Linked DNA regions of Ovis aries. The protein of the gene in region 1 purifies or fractionates together with the protein of each later gene. This does not show direct contact. Links are inferred from orthologs where the notes say so. Each region holds a gene or a part of one and is shown in the gene's direction. Other genes may lie near its edges.

Evidence for each region.
Region 2: the proteins of cytochrome c oxidase subunit 6B1 (region 1) and CHCHD4 purify together in Homo sapiens (co-immunoprecipitation; 3 studies listed by BioGRID and IntAct, with this or other methods). This does not show direct contact. The link is inferred for Ovis aries from reciprocal best matches to the Homo sapiens genes COX6B1 and CHCHD4.

What each region holds. Positions count from the first base shown.
Region 1 is NC_056067.1:45,680,608-45,686,401, forward strand, and holds the start of cytochrome c oxidase subunit 6B1, read left to right. Parts: upstream 1-2,442; 5' UTR 2,443-2,514; intron 2,515-4,069; 5' UTR 4,070-4,082; coding exon 4,083-4,188; intron 4,189-5,470; coding exon 5,471-5,571; intron 5,572-5,794. UniProt on the Homo sapiens protein: Component of the cytochrome c oxidase, the last enzyme in the mitochondrial electron transport chain which drives oxidative phosphorylation.
Region 2 is NC_056072.1:58,006,184-58,012,138, forward strand, and holds the start of CHCHD4 (mitochondrial intermembrane space import and assembly protein 40), read left to right. Parts: upstream 1-2,108; 5' UTR 2,109-2,255; coding exon 2,256-2,277; intron 2,278-5,955.

The sequences.
Region 1 (5,794 bases):
CTGAGTCTTGTTCTGATGGTCGTGGCCATGCTCAGTAAATCTTTTATCCAATTTTCTGTTGATGGGTGGAGCTGTGTTCTCTCCCTGCTATTTACCTGGGGCCAAGTGGGCCTTAGAAAGCATCACTATGAACAAAACTAGTGGAGGTGATGGAATTTCAGTTGAGCTATTTCAAATCCTGAAAGATGATGCTGTGAAAGTGCTGCACTCAATATGCCAGCAAATTTGGAAAACTCAGCAGTGGCCACAGAACTGGAAAAGGTCAGTTTTCATCCCAATCCCAAAGAAAGGAAATGCCAAAGAATGCTCAAACTACCACACAATTGCACTCATCTCACACGCTAGTAAAGTAATGTTAAAAATTCTTCAAGCCAGGCTTCAGCAATACGTGAACCGTGAACTTCCAGATGTTCAAACTGGTTTTAGAAAAGGCAGAGGAACCAGAGATCAAATTGCCAACATCTGCTGGATCATGGAAAAAGCAAGAGAGTTCCAGAAAAACATCTACTTCTGCTTTATTGACTATGCCAAACCTTTGACTGTGTGGGTCACAATAAACTGGAAAATTCTGAAAGAGATGGGAATACCAGACCACCTGATCTGCCTCTTGAGACACCTATATGCAGGTTAGGAAGCAACAGTTAGAACTGGACATGTAACAACAGACTGGTTCCAAATAGGAAAGGGAGTACGTCAAGGCTGTATGTTGTCACCCTGCTTATTTAAGTTAAATGCAGAGTACATCATGAGAAACGCTGGGCTGGAAGAAGCACAAGCTGGAATCAAGATTGCCGGGAGAGGTAACAATAACCTCAGATATGCAGATGACACCACCCTGATGGCAGAAAGTGAAGAGGAACTAAAAAGCCTCTTGATGAAAGTGAAAGAGGAGAGGGAAAAAGTTGTCTTAAAGCTCAACATTTAGAAAACGAAGATCATGGCATCTGGTCCCATCACTTCATGGCAAATAGATGGGGAAACAGTGGAAACAGTGTCAGACTTTATTTTGGGGGGCACTAAAATCATGGCAGACAGTGATTGCAGCCATGAAATTAAAAGATGCTTACTCCTTGGAAGGAGGGTTATGACCAACCTAGATAGCATATTGAAAAGCAGAGATATTACTTTGCCAACAAAGGTCCTTCTAGTCAAGGCTATGGTTTTTCCAGTAGTCATGTATGGGTGTGAGAGTTGGACTGTGAAGAAAGCTGAGCACCGAAGAATTGATGCTTTTGAACTGTGGTGTTGGAGAAGACTCTTGAGAGTCCCTTGGACTGCAAAGAGATCCAACCAATCCATTCTAAAGGAGATCGGTCCTGGGTGTTCTTTGGAAGGAATGATGCTGAAGCTGAAACTCCAGTACTTTGGCCACCTCATGAGAAGGGTTGACTCACTGGAAAAGACTCTGATGCTGGGAGGGATTGGGGGCAGGAGGAGAAAGGGACAACAGAGGATGAGATGGCTGGATCGCATCACCGACTCGATGGACGTGAGTTTGAGTGAACTCCGGGAGTTGGTGATGGACAGGGAGGCCTGGCGTGCTGCGATTCATGGGGTCGCAAAGAGTCGGACACGACGGAGCGACTGAACTGAACTGAAACTACCAATTGGGATTCCCTGATAGCTCAGTTGGTAAAGAATCCGCCTGCAATGCAGGAGACAACAGTCGATTCCTGGGTCAGGAAGATCCCCTGGAGAAGGGAAAGGCTACCCACTCCAGTATTCTGGCCTAGAGAATTCCATGGAAAGTCCATGGGGTCGCAAAGAGTTGGACACGACTGAGCCACTTTCACTTTCATACTAACAATTGGCCCCATAATAGTCACAGAGATTTTTGTGTTTAGTTCAACTATGCTTGAAGTGAAGTCGCTCAGTCGTGTCCGACTCCTTGCAACCCCGCGGACTGTAGCCTACCAGGCTTCTCCGTCCATGGGATTCTCCAGGCAAGAATACTGGAGTGGGTTACCATTTCCTTCTCCAGGGGATCATCCTGACCCAGGGATCGAACCCGGGTCTCCCGCACTGGAGGCAGACGCTTTAACCTCCGAGCCACCAATAGAAGCACCTGGCACTGGGTAAAATATTCAATAAATAATTCTTGCACAAATAAGAGCATTTCTGCTGGACTATTTTCCGCAGGACCACTCAACAGCCAACTCCAGGAACCAGAACCCCTTTCTCTATTAAAGACAGAGAGCTGACCAGGCCGGGTCAATACCTTGGAACGGAGCCCACAGCTTGCAACAGCTCGGAAAGGTACCTAACAAGTGCCACGCAAGGTTACGATTGGGCCCAGAATGAGGATGAACAGGCATTCGGCCCAATAGGAGGTTGGAATTTGCAATATGGGCGTGGCCCGAACTGCTTCAGGGACGGCGCTCTGGCCGTGCGGAAGACTCTTCTGTGCGTTGCTCCGTCCCGCTTCCGGCCGACCTTTTTTCCGCTTCCGGTCCGGTACTGGCGTCTTTGCTGAGGGTCACATTGAGCTTCCAGCGACTTCAGGGGCATCTTTAGGTGAGTGTTGAGGGCTTGGGACCCTGGAACCCCATCTTGGAGGACTGAGGATCCCTACTAGAAAATGAAATGAGGTTTCCAGCCTGCGGTGGCTGACCTCCCGGAGCCCTGGGGTCGTTTCAATCTGACGATTATTTGGTTCTTCTCGGATGTCTAGAACTTTCAAAGCGATTTATATTGATTCATTTAAGCTTCCCTCCAACTCTCTGAGATAGGGCCTGTGATTATCTCTTTTAGGAGGCAACTGAGGCTTAGATACTACGCAGTTTAGCTAGCGATCAGGATTTGAAATCATTAGGACTGCATTGCTCTTAATCACCAGGCCGCAGGCGTTTCTCTCCCCGGTCTCTGACCCCCGAGGCTTGGCTGGCCTGGCTTCTTGGTGACTCTCCACCCTCACCCCCTGCCCCTTGCACGTTCGAGGGGCTGCAGCGTCATCCCCAGTCCATCCTTACTCCCGAAATCAGGTGGAGATGGCTTTCAAAACAACTCTTCCGACCGAGTCTGTCCCCGCCTCTAGTGTTCTACATCCTCTGCTCCCGGAAAGACACTACTCCGGTGCCCCAAATCCTTACCACTACCTTGGGTCACTTGAATTTATTACTGGTCTGGTTAACTTATATGTAATACCACGACTCCTCGAATAATCTGGAATAGAGGCGGTGTCAGATTTCCTAATGAAAACCGTTTGTCACCTCATAAAAGATTATGGGACAGGTTTTTATCCCTAGGCCCGCAGAATGGATGGAACTCATGGGATGCTAGTACGTGAATGGAGGGAAATTTACGTCTGTATTTTTGCCAGTTTCTCATTGAACTCTCTTCCTTCGCTTGGGAATGGAGGCAGTAGCGGTAGTATTTGGCATCATCTGTGACTTTATCAGCAGTGAAAATGACAGGTCATCATATCATATATCCCATTATGTTTGCAGATTTCACAGCATGACCCTATTCAGGCGTGATTATTTTGAAATTGTGGTAGTTCATAAATCCTCAGCTACATGTAATTGGTTTTCTTTGTGATCCTGTGCCATTTTTAAATGCCCTGAAACATATTTGGAGAAAGGGTTCATTAGACTCCTGAGTACTTCATGGCACCAATAGAGATTAAGAACCTTTGCAGTGTAGGTTATGTTAGTGGTGGGAGTGCACCTCCACTCCATGTGTGCTGTATGACCTTGGGAAGTTGCTTAAACACCCTGTCTCTTGTCTGTGAAGCAGTGATAGTAATAGTTCCTGTCTTTTAGAGTAGCTTTAGGAGTAAAGCTTCCTTGCCTATAATAAGCACTCAGTGAATATCAACTAGTGTTATTTTGGCCTGTTTTTTTTTTTACCGAGCAGTTGTCTACCCCGACACATCCTGCTGTGACTTCCATAACTAATGTGTTCTTGCCCAGCCCTTCACCTCTATCTGTATGTTGAAAGGGAGGGGGTATTGGCTTGTTCACACCCAGCCCATTCTTCTCTGTCAGGTCTCCACTGGGCCTGGGTGGGCTGACAGCCCCCTGTCCAGGCCCCCAGGACCTCTGCCACAATCCACTCTGTTTCCCTCCAGGAGTGCTGACACTATGGCAGAAGACATCCAGACCAAAATCAAGAACTACCAGACTGCTCCTTTTGACAGCCGCTTCCCCAACCAGAACCAGACCAGGAACTGCTGGCAGAACTACCTGGGTGAGCAGGACTTGGGGAGGAGGCGGGCAATGTTGACCTTCCCCTGATCCCACACTTACCTCTTACCTCCTCATCGCCTCTTCTCTTTAATTCTGAACATCCTACTTCACGGGGCCCATGCCACCCATCACCTCCTGTATTCAAGATTTGACCTAAGGTCACAAACTTTGGATTCCATAGTCATTTCCCCCCCCAAGATGTGTATATGTCTATCTGTATGGAATGTAACATGCTTATAGGAAGTACATAAACCATAATGTACAGCTAAATCAATAACTCTAAATTGAATCCTCCATGTGATTATAATCTGGATAGAAAATGGGATACTGCCAGTCCCCTGAGCTCCCCTGTCTGCTGCATGCCGTCTCTTGAAAGCAACACTCTGCTCTCCCCACCAGAGTTGTAACCCCACAGACCTAGGGCAGTCATATTTTGGTTTTATCACCACTTTCAGGTCTGCCTCTTTGTGAACTTTAGAAATACTGTGTGTTGTCTTATGCTTGGATTTCTTCATTCAATAGTTATGAAGATTCTTCCATGCTGTGGCATATATTTTTCTCATTTTTATTGTGTGCAGTTTTCCAACATTTCATTCATGAACACTGGTGTGGTTTCCAGTTTGGGGCTCATATGAATGATGCTGCTATGATTGATGTAATTTGATGTCTTTGTGAATGCTTTCTCTCTTAGGGAGTGTGCCCAGGAGTGTAATACTTGGAATAATCTTTGAATTAATTTCCTACTATTAAAAACCAGATTATCCCCCTCCTTTCTCCTCTCCTGGATGCCAGCATCTTAGCATCAAGACCATCTTGCCCTTCCCTTGTCCTGGTTCAGGACTTCCATAATCCCTACACACACCTCTCAGGTTGCCCTGTTATTCCTGACTCAGAAGTTCCAAGTTGAACAGTAGTTCTTTTTCTTTTTTTTCTTGGCTACTCCGGGTCTCCTTTGTGGTGCACAGGCTAGGCTTCGTTACCCTGTGGGATCTTAGTTCCTCCACCGGGGCATGAACCCAGGTCCCCTGTAATGAATGGAAGGTGGATTCCTAACACCAGGGAAGTCCCAGACAGTAGTACTTTATGGATTGCAAAATAAGCTTAGTGTGGTGTGTCTAGCCCTTTTTAGTACTACACTTGTAAGGATATACTTTCTTTGTGAAACTTGGGAGTGTGGGGGATTCGTGTAACTGGTTGTGAAGTAAAAAGTATTTCTGTGAGTTTTGATCAGAAATATGTTCCAGCTCTTGGTCTGGGCTGACCCTGATCCCTTTTCTTCACAGACTTTCACCGCTGTGAGAAGGCAATGACTGCTAAAGGGGGTGACGTCTCTGTGTGCGAATGGTACCGGCGTGTGTACAAGTCCCTTTGCCCCATATCCTGGGTAGGTGCCTCCTCCTGGGGCCCTTGGGATGCTGGGGTGGGATGGGGTTTTTGCCAAAGGGCATATGGGGACTTGGTGCGAGCTTATCTGTGAGGGGCAGAGGGAGGACAAGGCTTCACACCGACCATGGATGCACCTTTGCTTCTTCCTAAAATTGCCTGCCTTTCCTCCTTTCACCAGGACTCTCAACCAGCCAGGCTCTCAGCTAAGGCAGCCAGATCTA
Region 2 (5,955 bases), on another chromosome or scaffold:
GCCCTACTCCAGGCTTAGAAGCGATGAGCAGTGCGTGGCGGGATAGGGGCTGACCTACAGCTCCTGAAAATCACTTCCTGTGTAACCCAGGGTCAGCTGCTTTACCCCTCTGACCCTGTTCACTCATTTATAAAGCACAGATGTCAACAGTAACTCCATTACTGGATGGAGGTTAGAGTGATTAAGAATCCTGTGTCCTTCCTGCTCCAGCCCACAATCTTCTGATCTTTCTTCGGCACCGGGCCTTCTGGTCCCTGTAAATGTGCACCCCAGTACTGGGTCAATCAACGAAGGTTTGGTGCCAGAGGATACCCAAATTCATCTACACTCTTTGGCAAAGATCAGGACCCTATGTATCCGAGATTCTCTGCCCATCAGGACTGAAGATAAACTGCTTTTTAACATAGTAAGCACCTGCGGTGCACCAGGCACTGTGCTAAAAGCAGAGTCTTCCTTAAACTTCACAGTAACCGAGCCCATGCGGAAACAAAAATCCCAAGAAATTAAGGTCACATAGCTACTGAGGAAGAATCTGGATCTTTCCCCAGGTGGGCCTGACTCCAAAGCCTGTCACACCTTCCCATGACCCACCGAGCTGGCTGTGGGGCCCTGGGCAAGCACGTGCCCCTGCTGGGAAGCCCTCATCTGTAAGGTATGGTGGCGGTGGTCTGAGGGCACGCCTGTCTCCTGACACAGCCCAGGCCTCCCCTGGCAGACCCTGCATCTGGGGGACCACCTCTAGGTGCACCGCTTAAGGCTTCTCGGCCTCCCAAACAACTCTACACCAGGCAGGGTGTACTGGGGCTGTGGGTGACGAAAGCCCTGGCTTCTCAGGGGGTGTGGAAGGCAGAGAGGACGCTTGGGGACAGAGGAGGAGCCTGGAAGGGTGTAACAGAGCAGCGGAGAGTGGCTAGGACGCTCAACCAAAGCAAGAGGGAGGGAGTGCCCCGGCTGGCAGGGCTCCGAGCTGGCTCCAGACACTTTCACAGAGGAGCGAAGCCTGAGTCACCAGCTCCTTCTCCCAACACCCTGGTGGGAGGTGCCCCTCGGTTTGTTGAATGAATGTTTGGCTTAAATAGAAAGGTTCCTGAGAAAGGCTGGCTGCTGGCAGGAGGCCAGCAGCCTTTCCAGGGGCACCACCTTCAGCGAGGGGCTCTGCAACTAAACCCCTGCTAGGAGGACGAGCGCCCGGCCGTAGGGAAATGCCCCCCTCTGCCCGCCGCCCTGAAGTCTCCGCTCCCCACCTGGCCTGCGCCCCTGTATCATAACAGCCCCGGTCTTACATACCCCGCTGGGCACGCAGCTCACCGCCCGCCCCGTACAGCACGTCGCTGGACAGCTCCAGCAGGGCGGATCGGCTTCCCCACCGCCCCCGTGGACTGGCCACCTCTCTGCGGCCCCGTCCGGCCCTCCAAGTCCGCACACGTGACAACCCTGAAGGTCCAGGAGGGAACCGGGAACGAAGAGAAGGGCTACGCGGAGGCGCCCCGCACCAGAGGACCCCCGAGCCGGAGCCACGGGCCAGAGGCCCGGTCCCCAACACCGCGGGGCCCAAGGAGTCGGGCAGGGCTGAGCAAGACAGACGGCACAGCTGCCGGAAGGCGCGGACACGGGTGCGGGAGGGAGGCGGGCGAGTGGACGGGGGGGACCACCCGGCAGGGCGCCGCGACACGCCCGCGGGAAGAGGGGCCGGAGGACCGGGAGGCCTGGGTGTGGCCGGCGGACCAGGAGACACTCACGTTCGCGGCCATGGTGGGGCCCGGTCGCCGCCCGCCTCGCTCGGCCCAGCGCGGAGTAGGGTTTACGCCGCAGCACTGAGTCCGCGACCTCTCGCCCGCCCGAGAGCGGCAGACAGCGGCGCAACCCAGGGCCCGGGACGCGCCACAGAGCTGCCGCCCAGGGAGCCCGGGCTCTTTTGGCCCTCGCTCGCCGTGCCGCACTGCCTCCTGGGAAACGTAGTCCTGGGTCGGGTGCTTTCCGAAAGTTGCCACCCACTGACGCCTCACAGACGCGCCCGCGCACTGCAAGCCATTCTGGGAAATGTAGTTCCTACTGCCTGGGGCGTGGCCGCGAGGCGCGCAGCCTGCCGGGAAATGTAGTTACCGGCTGAGCGCGCCGAGCTGGAAGCGCCGAGGCAGGCGCGCGGCGGGCAGGCCTGGGGGGCGGGTCCGTGCGGGCCTCCGAGCCGCCCGCCCCGCCGCGGAGAGGTCACGGCGTGAGGCGACCGCCGCGAGGTCGGAGCGCCGGGCTGCATCATGGCCTACTGCCGGCAGGAAGGTAGGAGGGCGGGCTGCGTGGAGACGGCCTCCGAGGCCCTGCGACACGCGGTCCATGCAGCGCCCCCACTGAGGGCGCGGGGCACGAGTTCCCGGGAGGAGGGTGCGGGTTGGCGGCGGGGTCGCCAGCCCCACTTTTCGGATGAGAAAACCGAGGCCCACGGAGCAGTAAGGCTGTCCCGGGTCTCGGAGAGACTCGAACCTGGACCTCGGAGGGAACAGCACGTGGGGAGACTCGTAAACTGGGCCCGGGGGTTAGAGCGGCGCGAGCGCGCTGCCTGAGGCTGGTAACGGGAAATGTGCTGATTACTAATTATGTTGCTACGCCGCTCGCCACGCACCACGTGTTCCCGTTTGCACCGCCTCTAACTGACCCGGAAGGTCGCCCCTCGGTGGGCGCGACGCTGGCGGTGGGAGTGCCGCCGGCGGGCACGGGTCAGGCCCTGCGCCAGGAGCCTTGAGTGGCCTGTCTCGCAGCGACTTTCCTAAATCAGGCCCTGCTCTTATCCCAAGAGTAAACCAAGACCCCAGAGGTGACTTGGCTGAGCCACGCGGCGGGCTACTCGCGGAGCTGGGGTTGGAGCCCGCGGTCTGATTCCAGAGCTTCTCCGTCTGGTGCCCAGAGGACTCCAGGGAGCCCTCCGCTGGGAAGACATCCCGCAGAAAAAAACAAAAGTTGGTCCCCGCCTGCGGTCTCTCACCTAGGAAGTCTCCAGGCCGCGGTTCGCGGGCCTCCCCGCGCAACCACGAACTGTCCCTGAGCTGACACCCAGGCCCTCCAGGCCCAGTTGTCCAGTCTTGTAAAATGAGAAGTTAGTCTTCATTCATTCCGCAGATATTCATGAAGCACCTTCTCCATGCCGGGTGAGGGGGAGGGTGGATATCTGAGACTGAAGTTCCAGAGAGAAGTGGAAGTCCCAGGAAATTCTCTAGTGAATACTCCAGCTCCCTCAGTTATTTCAGGAAATCCTGAGCCCAGAGATGGAGGTGACCTGCCCAAGGTCATGCTTCAATTAGGAGAAGTGTGTCAAGCTTCAGCTCACGGCTCAGTTTAAAATACTAAGCCTTTGTGCCAGTGGCCTCCTCTGGTGGCTCAGATGCCAATGCAGGAGACTGGAGTTCAGTCACAGGGTGGGGAAGATCCCCTGGAGGAGGAAAGTGAAAGTGGCTCCGTCCTGTCCGACTCTTTGTGACCCCATGGACTATACAGTCCATGGAATTCTGATAAAGGGCAACCCACTCCAGCGTTCTCACCTGAAAAATCCCATGGACAGAGCAACAGTCCATGGGGTTGCAAAGAGCTGGACACGACTGAGTGACCAATTTCCCAGTACCCCATTCTGCCTCAGGAACCCTCCTTCCCTGGGCCGCAAAGCCACGACACAGTGATGTCTCTCTCTGAGAAGCAGGTCCCATTGATTGATACTGAACTCTGCCATGAGCAGAAGTCCTCTGCCCTCACCAGTTTGTTAGAGAGTAGGTCTCTAGTTTTTTATTTCATCGTCCTGAGTCTAATTTACTCCTTTGTGTAGCAGATTTTTTTTAGTCTTTTGAGTATAATGAGGCTATAATCCTCATTCTTGTGGGTTCCTAGGAGTCACATGTTATCTGGGAAGCAGAGGTAAGTGTTCAGACCCATATCTTTTCCTGGATCAAAGATCACTTTCTTTCTTTGGGGATAAGAATTAAAAGCACTCCCTTTAGGCCTTGCGTGGTTTTTATCTATCCACGCCACTGTCCCCTCAGTCCCGAACTTCTTGTTTTTCTATCCATGGATTCCTTATGCTTCCCATGGGACTTAGAGCACTGACCCCAGCTCCTTCCTGATTAAGGCCTGTGTGATTGAGGCCTGACCTGGCTCCTGCTGGTCTCTACGCACCTGTCATTGTGCAGCCAGGCCGGCCTCTGGCTATTCCCTTGGCCTGGTGCGTCCCTCCCCCGGCTCTTCTCACGGCTGCTTCGTCATCCTTTAGGGTTCAGTGCAGATGCCACCTCCTCAGTGAGGTCTTCCCTGCCTTCCTGTCTTCCACATCCTAAACTCTCGGAAATTCCCTGGTGTACTTTTGTCCTCTTCCGGCTTGTCTGCGTTGCAGCAGGCTGAGAGCATTAGATGGGCCACACTCCCCGCAGCGTCACCCAGTGGACCGGTACACACGGCTGCCCTCTCTTCTGAGGGAATCACTTGCCCATGCACTTGACTTCAGGGGTCCGCCCCCCAGCCCTGGGGTCAGTCAGGGCGTTAGGCAGCATGGACTCCGGCCGGCTCCCTGGCCCGGGGCCGCCCTGCCCCTGTCGCTGTCCTCCTTCCAGCTGGCCTCGCTCTTTCCTGTTCTGTCAGGAGACAGTCACCGAGCACCTGTGATGTGCCGGCCCTGACCACATGGCAGAGGCCGTTGGCACAGGTGGGTAGTCTGCCCCGTGGCATGGTGGAGGCAGTGGAGGGGGCAGGCTGGGTGTGGCAAGCGGTGATGTGTTCTAGGGGAAATGAGACCACCCGAGCAAGGTGTTATTTTTGTCCCTGTGACCTGCTTCATGGTGATAGCCATCTCTCCTCCATACTCAGCGGGGCCTGGGATCTTCTTGTCTGAGCTCAGAGCTCATTTCCCCACTCACTTTTCCAGCAAATACTGATTGCTCACTGTGTCGCAGGCACTGTTCTAGGCTCTGAGCTACTGCAGTGAATGGAACAGATGCACCCTTGCCCCCGAGGAGCTGACATGTCAGTCGAGGAGATGGGTGGTAAACAGATAAGTAATTGTGGGTGAGAGAAGGCGGGTTAGAGGCGATGGGGAGGGATGAAGGAAGGTGCCATCTGAGCAGGAGGTCTGAAGTCAGGGCAAGGTGGCTGTGAGGTGTCTGAATGCGCTCCTGGACGACAGCACGGCCTGGCAGGTCCCCGAGGTAGGCGTGCACTCAGCAGCTGTTGTGTGCTTGAGCCCCAGTCTGAACCCCCGTCCTGAGCCTCTGGCACGCTGATGGCCCCGGGAGCCAGCGCCTCCCAAGCCAGCCCTCCCTCTCGCGCAGGGCCGTGCGTGTGCTCTTGCTGCAGACCGTGTCAAGCCCTGTCAGCTGGTCTGTTAAACCAGCATGGCCATCGAGCACCAGGGCTAGAGATACAAGATAAGTCACTGCCCAGGCTTGGACCCCTTGGCTCTGGGCCTGACACCAGCCTCTGCACTGGCTGGGCCTGGCTGAGATCTTGGTGAACAAAACTGTCAGAGCGGAGCCGAGCGGTCGTGTCAGCTTCTGTCTTCTGCTTAGTGCAGCACTTCCGTGGACTGCTCTCGAGTGTTCTGAACTCTGGCCGGAGTCCCCGAGGTCTTTAGGTTCTTCAGCACGCCCTAGCTGCCTGGCCCCAGTCCTGCCCCAGGCCGTGTGGGACAAGCCGCCTTCTCTGAGGTCCAGTGTGGGGTGCTGGAGCGGGCGTGGGCCTGTGTGTGCGGAGCGTCAGCCGTCACCGCTGTCACCCGCCCGTGAGACAGCGGGGAGGGTGTACCGCCCCGCACCTTCCCTCTCCCCGCACCGCCCTCTCCCGCACGCCTCTCAGCTCCACACGGTCACCCTGGCGCTCTTCCCAAGCCTCTGCCGGGGGAGCCCGCTGGCAGGCCCCTCGGGGCCTGGACGAGGTGCTCTAGGCCACGGGAAGGAGCAAAGCTGTGGAGCCGTGGGAGTTCTGAGC